2 linked regions of the Drosophila melanogaster genome follow. The protein of the gene in region 2 interacts with the protein of the main gene of each other region in a pairwise test. Each region holds a gene or a part of one and is shown on either strand. Other genes may lie near its edges.

Region 1 (6,451 bases), on a different chromosome or scaffold from region 2:
ATTTCTGTGTAATGCCAAGAGAAGATTTTATGATATTTTGCGTACAGATGTTGGATATGCTAAAAGTTCGAACTAGCCTGTGCGGGAGCATGCAAAATGTGTGCGTTTCGCGCAAACGAGTCGTCGTACTTTCTTGGTGCTGTTTTGTGTTGAACTTTGGACCCTGGCTCAGCCCCCTTCCCCTTATGACCGTTGAAAGCGGGACCAAAACAAACTCCAAAATGTTTATCTCAGCAAACCAGTTTTTCTCAACTTCATTAAGACGGTTGCATGTGAGTTTTTGGCTTCGTTTTTCGTTGCTTTTTTGTTTTATTATTATACGTCTGTTTTTCTTTTCATTTGCTGCAGCTCCAACTTGTTTATCTTGGCTATTTTCGAGCTTGGTTATGGGTGGGATTTAGATTTCAGAGGTGAACCCAACAGCCTTTTCAGTTGTTTTATCAGTTTTTAGTGGGGGGATTTGCCACAGGTTACAGTTTTTCGTCTATCACTCACGCAAACACCTGCGCACTAATTCGGTAATCTGTTGTGCTCAGTGTTCGCTGGGGAACTGCCACCAACTTGATGCTCTGTCCTAAAAAAAGGGTGCCGTGGAGCGCGGAGGTGGCGGGTCTGAACGTCTTTGCAACGTGCTCTCTTGAAAAGAGAGGTAGATGGTGAGCGAACACGCTGCTTGCGGGGGTGGGTTTAGACATCAGTAATGGTTATTTAGCCATTTTTTTTTTAATTCTATATTTTTATTTTTATTTTATAACAAATATTTAATAGATAGATAGAAAGTGACAGTATTACATTTTGTCATATTTCATGATTCCTAAAATCATGTTTAGTACCAATATTAATCATTACATATTATTAAATGGGTTTTTTAACCTCAAAAAGAAGCTTTCAATTCCTATTTAAAACAGATCTATTTATTAAGTTCCTCTAAGCCTAAGTTGTTCTTTAGGATAAAATGTGATCCATAAAGCTTAAAAACCAAAAGCTTTATAACAATTGAAGCGTTAATAACAATGTTGCACATGTGCGCTACCTGTTGGTCAATTGCCATTACTCGGCACAACATCCAGGTGGCGCTGTTTTTGTTAAATAATTAATTTTTTTTATTACATTTTGTTAATATGAGAAAAATACAGTACGACGTAAAATGTAGTTAAATATTATTTTCACTTATTTTGACAATTTATGGGGCATATCTTTCCATTGACCACCAAACAACATCCTGATAACCGTAAAATTCGATCAGTTGCCTGAGAGTCGACCGCACAGAAAGGACACAGTACAAGTTGATAACCGGGATCAAAGTCTTGAACAAGAAGCCGTTGCCTATAGTCCTGTTCACTAAGGCATCTGACAGCACCAATAATATATCGATGGATGTAATGGTGGCATAAATCACAAACCATGGACCAATGTAATGCGGCTTGAGCTGGATTCAAATAATGTTTACAATATATTAATGGAATTCAAAGAAGTTTTTGAATAGATATCGTTTTTTTTTTTTTTGTATATGATATTTTTAGTACTCACGGTGGCCAAGGCGTATAGCAGTATTGTCCACGCCGTTAACATTAAAATGCATCCGATGATACGAAAGCGGCGCAATTGCTTGTATTTGAAATTCTTTACCTTCCTTAGCCGATGCGACTTCTTCAGATGCGCCTTCTTGAACAAAATGCTTATGAATTCTAGACAATTGTGAGTCTGTGTTGAGATAGGTGTAATAAATGCACATCTGAAATATAAAGCAATTTGCATATACGCACCGATCCAATGATACTAATGCCCAGAGCATAGTAGAACATGAGGGGGAATATCTGCTCGGAGAACCAAAACAATCTGCCTGCACGCTGATTGTTCGCATCGAAATTAGGCGGGAACTTCCAGATGGAGTATGTTCTGCAGGTGGGTAAGGGTATATCCATATACCTGTGCGCAATGTAGCATAGCACATCACTGAGACACCTTTTGGTATACATGGCGAACTCAGCTAAAGTTTGTACAAATCAATTTTCAATCACAAAAGATGCCTGAAAAATGAGTACAAAATTTTGGTGCAAAGGGAAATGGACTGACTGACTGACTGAAGGGTGACGAATAAAAAATGGAAAAGATTAGATCATTAAAACGTGGCCAACTACTCTCTCTGACGACTATATCATTTTTCCAGTGAATGGAGCTCTTTAAATTCGCCCAGTTTATTTATTTGAAAATCGATAGGAATCGTGTTTCTTTGCCATTTAACCGTTTTTGCCATACGTGCTGATATATCGATACTAACGTGAGTAGCGCCACCTAGCGGGTGGGTAGAACGCTGCACACCATCGATGATTGTCAATGTGAAAGTAACGGTACAATCGGCAGCGACATCGATGTTTTCCCAGCTCTAGCAGCGCGCAACTCACTCGTAGTCGACTTTTAGGTGCGTAGTCGCGAAAAACTATGAAGACGCAACTCTCGCGTCGAGCGGTCCTCAGAATCCGGGATTCGTCCTCCAGTTCGAAAATCCAGCAAATAAATCCAGCATTTTGTGTGCGCCAATCGAATACGATTTTTTTTTATTTTTTTTTCGCCTGAAATATTTTGAAAATTACAACAGTGTAAACGGTGGGAGGGGGTGGTGGTGTGGCGAGAGGGGATTTATGGAAGGGGGAAGTGGGGGCGCCGCGCACGTGTCGACGTCGCAGTAGGCGTCGCAGTCGGCAATTGTTGCACGCTGCTGATCCTACGCGTTTCTCGTTTCATGTTCTTTCTTGTTTGTTGTGTGCTTCTTCGTGTCCCGTTAATTGTTGTTTCTTCTTCTTGTCCTCCTCCACCACCACCTTCACCTACGCTGCTCAACTGCAGTGCAAAGTGAAACGCGAAGAACGCGTTGCAGAATAATCACATCGCAAATACGGCGAAGGCAGGAAAAATTGAAAAGAATTGAAGAATCCAGCGAAAACCAGTGAAGAATCGGAATCAAAGAAAGTATCGGAATCAGCGGAATAACACTAAAAATAAACATACTTATATATATATTAAACATATATATACATATATGTATATATATTTAACCACCATTTAAAAGCAATCAAAAAGCAACTAAACAAACAACAAAAAGCAACAAAAGGTAATCACAAAAGGCTAGGACGAAATATTGTGTAATAAACTTGAATTTCTTTTACTTGCCGCAAAGAAATGGGGAAAAAAATAAAATGAAATAATATATAGAAAAGGAAGCTAGCGAAAGGGGAAGAGTGAGCGAGAAGGCGGCATAAACACACTTCTAATTGTAATTGTTGTCTTTTGTCGTTCTGCCGGCGTCGCTGTCGGCGCTAAAACTTTTTCCTGGCGGCGCAAAAGAGACAGCGCGAACGGCGAAGTTTTGCCCGAAAGAAAATGTAAGGAAAAGCAAAGAAAATTGAAATGAGCAGGGAGCCAGGAGTCGGAGTCGTGGAAAAATGGAACATAATAAGTTAAATTTGCGTGCTCTTGGTTTTCCGTCGATTCATGCTTCGTTTTTTCATTATTTATTTATTCAGTTTTGCGCTGGTTCCTTATTGTTTTCTTAATTTCTTGATGTTTTTCCAGCTATTTCCTACTCCCCGTCATTGAATGTGTGTCAGCCAACAGAAAATGAAATGCGCAATTATGTCAGCAAGCAAATAAAGCGAAAAAAGTTTTAGCAACTACATCAATTGCTTGTTTTTCAAGTGCAACCAACACACAAGCACTCACACACACGCACACACAACGCACTTTGCGGTTGCATAAGTGTCAAACGCAACACACGCTTACAGTTTGACAGTAATTGCGCTCAGAAGTTCAAAAGACAACAAAATACGTTTATTTTTGTGGGAAAATGAAGTCTGTATTATTTAATCAGTGCACTTATGCCCATGTGGCAACTTAATCTAGCTGCAGTGAGAAAAAGAAAACGGTCCTTGAGCAGAACACCAAATAAGTGTGCTATAAATATAGTTTTTACGAATTTCAGATATGCAGTGCGCCTATGCAATACGAATTTAACTTTGCTGCCAACTGAATTTGAAGGAGTATTTGTATTGTATTTCCGGTGCTCGCAGAGCAAAAGGGTATATTCGATTCGTATATGTTTAAGTGATAAAAGTTTCAATGTAAAGGTGAAAAAGAGTGCAAATGTGGGTGGCCTGCGTTAGTTGACATCCGTACAAGATTGATATTGATGCCCTTTACACCCACACAGGCGCAACATTACAAACGCTCCCAAACGCACACACTTACATATGTATACTCTCACAGACACACACATACTGTGAGTCACAGCAACAGGAAACGGGTGAAACTACTTAAATATTTAAAGCATTTGATGCCGAAAGGAGAGGGGGCGATAAACAGAGCGAGACGGAGAGGGGGAAAATTGAATGGGTCGGCCCACTTTTTGCGCCTGGAAGTATGCAAACAATGCCAAATGGCACCAGCACAGAAATGCCGAGTAAATCTTGAGAGCAAGTTTTCCGCCCGCCGAAGAAAACGCGAAAAACCCACAGCCAGGAGAAAATAAAAGAACAACCAAATTCACGAGAAGAGCCCAACAATTTTGTCACGCATGTGTGGCTACAAGTGTGTGTGTGTGTGTGTGTGCCTGAGCGTGCGTGTGTGTTTGTGGGCCAAATGAAAAGAGCCAAAACATTAAAAATGTACCAGCAACCACAACAACACAAATGACAAAAATAACAAGAATAACGGGAATAGCACAGGAAAAGTCCAAGCTGACGGGCGCCGCAATTTGCTGTCAACATAAAATAAATAAAATAAAATAAAAAGAACAAGAAGCAATACCCACACACACACACACGCACATATGTATATGGCCAGTGTGTATGTGTATATATCTTGTTTATAAATCTTTTGTACACTTTTGGCAGTTGACTTTTAGCGCCGACTGTTCCCATTTTCCCATGTTTTCGCATTTTCACGTTCTTTGTAATTTTCAATTTTACTTTGCGCATATTTAATAGCACAAATCGTAAATTAGATTCGCCACACATACATATAGTCCTATTTGTGCACTGAACGCAAAATATGCAGCCTTTAACGGAATAAAATTAAATATACATATATTCTAAGCGATTTATTTTGCAAACTCATTATGATCAATATTTAATTTACATACAATTTTCATACAATTCAGTTAAATATCGAAATTATCTAGAATCTCCAATTTCTATCAGTGTCTTTTCCCTAGCTCCCACTTTTATTACCCAAAAGTTAATGAAGTGTAAGTGTTGTGGAAGGGAAAGGCCCTAGGAATATCCTGCCTAATCAATCAAGCGGCACCAATAAGCCTTTAAACAGATTTGCAAATTTAAAGCATTACGTACTGTGCACGAGCATTTGAATGGTTTGCCAGCGGATTTCCATAGAATATGTTAAATGCCTAACTGCCACCCGTCACTTTTTATATTTTATTCTTTCCCTGACCCTCCGCAAGTGTTTAATGTTTGACATCCGCTGGCATCCGTGTTGCCTTGCCGTCGCTTCCGTTTCCGGATGCTGCTGCACTTCCCCTGCGCACCCTGCTCTTCAACTAACTGCATTATCGCTTATCTACACTGAGCGGAAATGCGGTAATTCATAAATGATTTGCTGCTTCGATTGGCTCATTTATTTTTCGAAGCAAATCATATTTCACCAATTACATCTATTCCAATTGCTTGTATATAGTTTTAGATATTATTTATGTTTTTTATTGAACAGTGTATAAAAATAAAGTTAAGCCTCATGGCTTAATATTTATCCAGAAGCTTCGTGGCAGGTCCCGCCATATTTTTCTACTGAGGTTTCGTTGCGCAGGCAGTGCGGCACTTATCGCTTATATATATGTACAGTGAAGCCAGACCAGTTGGACCACCTGCTGACTTCCTGTCAGATTGTCAGATTGTCAGACTGGTTAGCTTGGCTTTTGGCTGCGGCTTCTTTGCTGGCAGCTGCTCGCAGGACTCGGAAAACTCGCTCCCCGCGTCCTTGTCCTCGTTGACCTTGTGCCCGAGATTTGGCTGTCTGTCGTATCAAAACAAGTTTATTAACATTCCACTGGCTATCAAAGCGGTGCTGTGCTACGCACCCCCGGCCCCATCCCGCCAAGGCAGTTGGCAGGTGCCCAGGGGTTGGGGGCTTTGGGTGGATAGACAATTACATATGTAAAATGTGGCCACAGTTTGGCAGTCATTGGGGCAAATGGGCACGCCGTCCTGTCGCCATAAAATTGGAACCGAAATCCGTAGCCAGCTTCCAAGGAAAAAACATAGCCTGAAAATGGCAAAGCGAAGTATTTTTGTTCTTCTTGAAAAGCTGTATAAAATTATTTATAATTTTTTATTTAAAGCATAAACTCTTATTGAGAGCAGATCATTTTCTAAGTAAATTTAAAAAATCGTATGATTACATATCCAAAGGTTAATGCAATAGTAAATGTACTCTATGTAAT
Region 2 (6,116 bases):
ATATTGTGGCCTCGCGCTTCAGATCTGCAAAAAGAAAAAAATATGCAGAGAATGGGGGCGTGAGTTCAGATTGAACGAGGTTGGGGCCAACAGCGGCAATTAGTTGACATTGGAATGGGGCACGTGGGGAGTACCACCCACTACACCAGCTGGCAGTGGCACTAATGGACTTAGCGCTGACTTATGTGCCTGCCATGTATCATTTAGTCAATGGTCGGATGGCTGCTCCTCGTCCACATTCACATCCACGTCCGGGTTCGTGTCCATGTCCTGATTCAGGCTCAGGTCCTGGCGCCCTTGCACTTGAGCAATTTCTTTTTAATTGGCGTCTTGGGCTGGCAAACGGGCAGCCCTGGGGGCGTGCTACACGTGTGGCAGCGGCATAATTTTGAATAATTGAGCAGCTTAATTATAATTTATTCACACAGCGCTCTGGAGGAGTCAGGAATCGGTAGCCCGGGGCCAAATCGAACAAGGTCGTCTCATTGTGCCGTCAAAAATAAAAGCGGAGTGTATACATATATATATAGGTGTATTGTGTATATAATCCTCACCCGCTGTGCTCAGTCCAGGACTCGCTGTGAACTTGGCCACATCAACGATTTTGACGGCAAACTGCTGATTGGACTCCCTGTGTATGCATCGCCTTACGATGGAGAAAGGTCCTCTGTAAGAAACAATCCCGGATGGGGGGGGAATAAAGTAAATTCGGATTAAACTTCAATTGAAAGTTGATTGTGTCTAAATGGGAGCGAATAAAATTTTATCTTGCTTCGACAAAAGCAAAATATTTATATTTTCCGAGCGTCTAAAAGCAAACAAGATACTTGAGAAAGAGGAAATTTAATCAACTATGTATTCTCTTTGTAGTTACAAACGTGGGGTTTTAATACAAAAGCTTGCCATAACATTACTGATGATTATTTTACAAATAAATTTTAATTTTCTTACAAATTCCTATTCAATAACTCATTTAAAGTCAAGCAACGATTTCCTATCATCTTGTTTTATGAGCGTGATTAATTTTTATTGAACTATGTCACCAAGCTGAATTTGGAAAACTATTGCGATTCAAGGTCGTCATTTTGCTTATAGTTTATAGATTATAAATTGCAAAAAATTAAAAAACGTGCTATTTAGTGACTCACACTTCATTTTCAATAAACTTTAGAAGTGTGTTAATGGAACATTTTCAACATCAGTGAAAAATATTTTTCCAACGAAATTAAACAAAGTTCAACTTAATAACATTGACAGCTTTGTGAATGAACTTCTGGCTAAACTATGATGATCACAGCAAAAGTAACTAGCACAGAAAATGTTTGGTCATACATTTTTGAATAATGCAAAAGTTGGGCGTTTGGGAAAGTTTTTTATAGAGGGGAGCTGGCTTCGTCCCAGGCCAATAGTTGCATGATTTACGGCTTCTGGGTGGGTGGGATGGGCATACGGGGCGGATACATAATACATAATGAGATAATGGCCATGGATGCCAGCTGTCAGCAGCAGAATCGGCTAAAGATATAGCCGGTGGGGCGCTAACTTACTTGCCAATGACCTCGCACAGCTCGTAGACGTCGTCAAAGAGAATTTCGTCTTCGGTCATTTTGAATAATTGATGAATTGATGCCTCGACTCAATTGCTTTTTCGAATATTGATGAGTTGTGTCCTGTTTTTCGTGTCCGTCGCTTTTCCTTCTCCCGCTTCCTTTGCCCGTCGTCGCCTACTGCCCTCCAAAAACGAACATAAAAAATAAACAAAAAACTAAGCGGCCAGTGAGCAACTCCAAAACTTTGAGCGTTTTCCTTCGGTTTCTTCTGATGATTTGTTGTTAATGGTATTGTTATTGGTGTCGTTGATTCGTTGTTGCCGCTAATGCTGTTGCTGTTTTCGTAGCTGCTGATGTTAAGAATGCATTTTGCGCTGGAAAAATATAACAAGTGAAAATGGTGAAGGTGAGTTTTTCCATTAGTTGAAGGCCGCTAATCAGATTTATTTGGCGTCTAATTAAGAAACTGTCAAGAAGCTTTGCGAGAATTCTGTCAAGCAGATGACGCAAATATAAACAAATTTGTTTACATTTGTGAAAAATTATACACAGATTTTAATCAAGAAAATTTGCTAATAATTTCCTAAATATTTTGTAATCTTACTTACAAACTAAGTTAAGTTTATAATGCTATCTGAATCAATCAAATTGAAAATGCCACTATAAAGTTGGGCTGGCGTGTTGACACTTGTGTGATGGGAACACTTTTCGAGGGACCACTGTTAATGGTGTCGCAACGGAAATGAGACTGGCCTGGCCGAAACTTGTTTGATATGTCAATCACACTCATATCAGGTGTAAACCCCAATCAATTACAGGCGGCACACACCACAAATGCACAAAATGCTGTCGAAAGTGCCAATGGTAGGAAGGAAGTATCCCCGCACAGTGGGCGTTGTGAATTTTGCAACGGAAATGATGGCCAGCTGAAAAGGTAAACAAGCCAGCAGGACCTGCAGAATGTGTCCTTTTCGAGGGTCTCGTTCCAAGGATGTTCGCGGGGAAAGTTCGCAGGGGGGGAGGGTGGATGGGAGGCGCTACCTTTGTCTTGGCCATACTATTATTATGCCTTTTGGTCCAGCACTTGAACATACTTTTCAAAACTTTGATGGCACTCCAAAAATCCGAAAGGAGAAAGCCAGAGAGCGAGAGAGTGTGAAAGAGAGCGAAGGAGTGCGAGAAAGATGGCGAGCATGGATGTAAAGTGCGCCGGCGCCGTGGGAAATTCGTGTAAAGCACCAAAATTGTAATCGTAAAAAATATAAGCTATGCTTTCTGCCCGGGCTGCATGAATATTTAAATGTGCAACAATTTACGATGCACACACGAAATGTGGAGAACTGAGTTGCGACTGCGAGAGCAGGACGGAGCATTTGCGGGGAATCCCCGCGAAGGACTTTCTGGTAGTCATGTTTAATGCAGAGCTGCGCATGGGGCGCGGTGTTTTTGGCTCGGTTTTAGTATTCGGGCTCGAGGGTTTTACCTTGCTCGTGTGCCGCTGTTGTAAAATGCCTTGACACTTTCCACACGACCTTACCGCCCACCTCACTAACGCACCCACCCACACCCACATACACTCACTCACTGACTATGTGTGTGCATTTGGCCCTGCTTTTAGGACTTTTTGAGACTCTCGAGTGTCGCACAATTGGCAAATTGATTCTTTGTCTAAAGGATTTGCATTGCTCATGTTCCACGCCCCCTTATCAACGACACCGCCCCCTTTATCGGCCACACATAGAGGGGGCCACACTCACACCACACACACACACACACACACGAACACACACTGGCACGAACAATTCGCATATAGTTTTATGTACGAAAACCCACCGATTTGGCAGCGATTCTTCAACGGCCGCTGGTTTTTGGCATTTTAGCGAATCGCATTAGCACTCGATTGTCTAGGTGCGCAGCACGAATCGCCTGGCAAGCTGATTGCATTGGGTAATTTACTAATTTTAACTTAAAACAAACACGGCCCGTGAGGAATTGATTGGCGAAGAACTGGTTGCAACTGAACCGGTTCGCCGCGAACTAGAATTCCAGGGCTGCAGGTGCATTGCTGGATTGGTTCGGAACTTGGAGTCGGTTCACGGCTCTCCCATTGAAAATTGATACCAACCTGTGTTCATTAAAAATATTGTTTTTAAAATAAATTTAAGGGTGGTACTGCAGCAACTTACTTCGTTAATCAAAGTTTTAATTCAAGAAAGTTTGTTTGAATCAAGCAACTGGTTATACTGGAAAAATACCAGAAACCCGTTGGTATCTAAGCTTTTCTGTCATTTTGTTATTAACTTTATTTGGTCTGTTAAAATTTGCGCGGAAGTTTTTGAAAAAAAGTTTTGGGGACGAGAAAGTATAATTTTGGAATATTGTTAAGAATATAGTCATTCATAACGACACAGATGTTTTATCGAAATTGAAAATAAATACTATTAAAACTTTAATTTTGTTAAAGAAAAAGTAAATTATATTTTCCTGCTCCTTTCTCTTCGGTAGCATTTTGCATATGCTTTTATTTGCTTGACTTATCAGCAAAAGGCAGTTGTTTTCCTTTGATAAATACCCACTGCATGCTTAATAAATTTACTCGAAAGTAAGATAATTCATTGCACACTGAATTGTTTCCGCTTGAGTGAAGTCAAATGGAGGTAAATATTTATGCGGTACGCAAGCAAGTGCATAAAGCTATTGTGGAATATTGCACATACGAATTTCGAACACTTTCCAGTTTTATCGGCAATACGATGCCAATTACCATTCATCAACTTGAAAGTAAACATTTTCCCCTTCAAAAATGATTCACGATTTATTTAACTGGACTAAGCCACCAGTGTGTTAATACAGGGATTTTCACTACAGAACCTTTATCAACTTACTTTATCGCCAGGCTCGTTCACAGCTCATTGAATATTACCATATTATTTACATTACTTCTCTTTCGCGCCATTCAACTTTATCTATTATTATTATTATTACCCCACAGCATTTGATAAACCCATTAGAATAAATTAAGATCTTGGCATTAATATGCCAGGCACACACACAGGAGTCCCTCAACCGAAGACGAGGAAAACCCACACGCACTCCTCGAAAATAAAAAATAAAAACCGTAGGTGCGTAATCTTTAAATCAGTTGGAAGGGGCTGGTGACGGGGGCCAATACTCAAACATAAACATCATCAATTACAAAACCTCGAACAGCAACAACAACAACAATCACCGCCAAACGCCCAACGACAACAACACACAGATAAGATGCAAGAGAAACAACAAGCCAATAAGGGAGCAACAAACACAAAACCATCAGCCAAATGAAGAAAGACCTGATGAAAATGAACTCAATATGGCCATATTACTACGGGGGATATAGTCGAAAAGGATAAGCACCAACAACCATTTCGAGATGAGCAGCAAAAACAACAAGTGTTAATGATCAGCAATAACAACAGTGGTCACCCACTAATGTCCACCTTTCGATTGTAAAATAGCAGCCAATTAAATTATACGCACTATGAAATATTCAGAAATAATAAAAAAGTAATTAATTTTTTTTTTAATTTATACAACTTCTTTCATAATTTGTGAGATCAATCAAATAGTTTGGGTATAAACTAAAAAGTACACACCTTCCTCATTCTTAAGTGGTTTTACCTACTTGTATCAGCCAGCTAAAATATATAGAAAAGAAAAAAAAATTTTGTTTTTTTATTTAAAACGCGAATCTTGAAAAATATATATATATAAAAATATTATCCAATTACCACTGTACCCTAATAAAAAAAAAGCACAAAGCGGAGATATAATACACAACTCACGGTGAGAAGTCGTAGGTCGTTGCTTTGCATTTGTTTGCTGCGTTGGTTGACAATAAAAAAAAAAAACAAAAACACCAAAAGGAACACGGTAAGCAGAGCAGAAGGAAAAAATCGGAAAACAAAAATACTCGACTCGATAAAAGGAGAACAACAAAAGGGCAGGGAAAAAGGCTCAGCCACTCAGGTGAAATCAAAATCAAATTCAACGCCAACGATCGACTCATCCCCATCCCCATCGCGGTTACCTTTCCCAGTTGCTGCCAGTTCCTTGTTTCTTGCCCCGCATATCCTCGCTCCATTCGCCGTCTCTTTCTGTGGCGATAGCCCCGTCTCTTTCCCGTCGCCGATCCTCGTTCTCTGTCGTTCTCTGTCGCCGGTGATCGTCATCATTTGGACTTGCGACTGTCGCGCTTAATGCGTGTGGATGGACATGAACGTGTAGGATTCGAATTGACATTATAAAAACGGGTTTGCTGCCTCCTACGTTCCACGTCCTACGCCTACGTCCCTCGCCCAGGATTTTCCCCCCACCCCTCTTTCTCGACCAGCTCCGCTAAGGCTTGTTGTACCTGCCTACTTGGATCTGATTCCTGTTCGCTGTTGTCTCTAGGATATTACATACCTGCTGGCCGACGGGGAAAGGTGCGCGCCAAAAAGATAAGAAAGGCAGGGGAAGCGGATCCTTAACAATGGTAGCGTGACATCCAAATGATCCGATAATGACAGTTGATAGGCGAACCCA

What was found. The genes of interacting proteins can lie anywhere in the genome.
Region 1: the proteins of CASK (region 2) and eag interact in binary tests that used the Drosophila melanogaster proteins (3 or more experiments, as listed by UniProt).

The regions. Positions count from the first base shown.
Region 1 is NC_004354.4:14,953,018-14,959,468, forward strand, and holds the start of eag (ether a go-go), read left to right. Parts: upstream 1-2,459; 5' UTR 2,460-2,532; intron 2,533-2,847; 5' UTR 2,848-3,112; intron 3,113-6,451. Other genes in the region: CG9030 (uncharacterized protein), read right to left, coding at 1,184-1,429, 1,531-1,704, 1,767-1,979. UniProt on the Drosophila melanogaster protein: Structural component of a potassium channel. Mediates the potassium permeability of membranes; potassium current is regulated by CaMKII and CASK. Has a role in growth of the perineurial glial layer of the larval peripheral nerve.
Region 2 is NT_033777.3:21,819,100-21,825,215, forward strand, and holds the start of CASK (CASK), read right to left. Parts: upstream 3,576-6,116; 5' UTR 3,384-3,575; intron 1,925-3,383; 5' UTR 1,607-1,924; coding exon 1,548-1,606; intron 668-1,547; coding exon 555-667; intron 25-554; coding exon 1-24.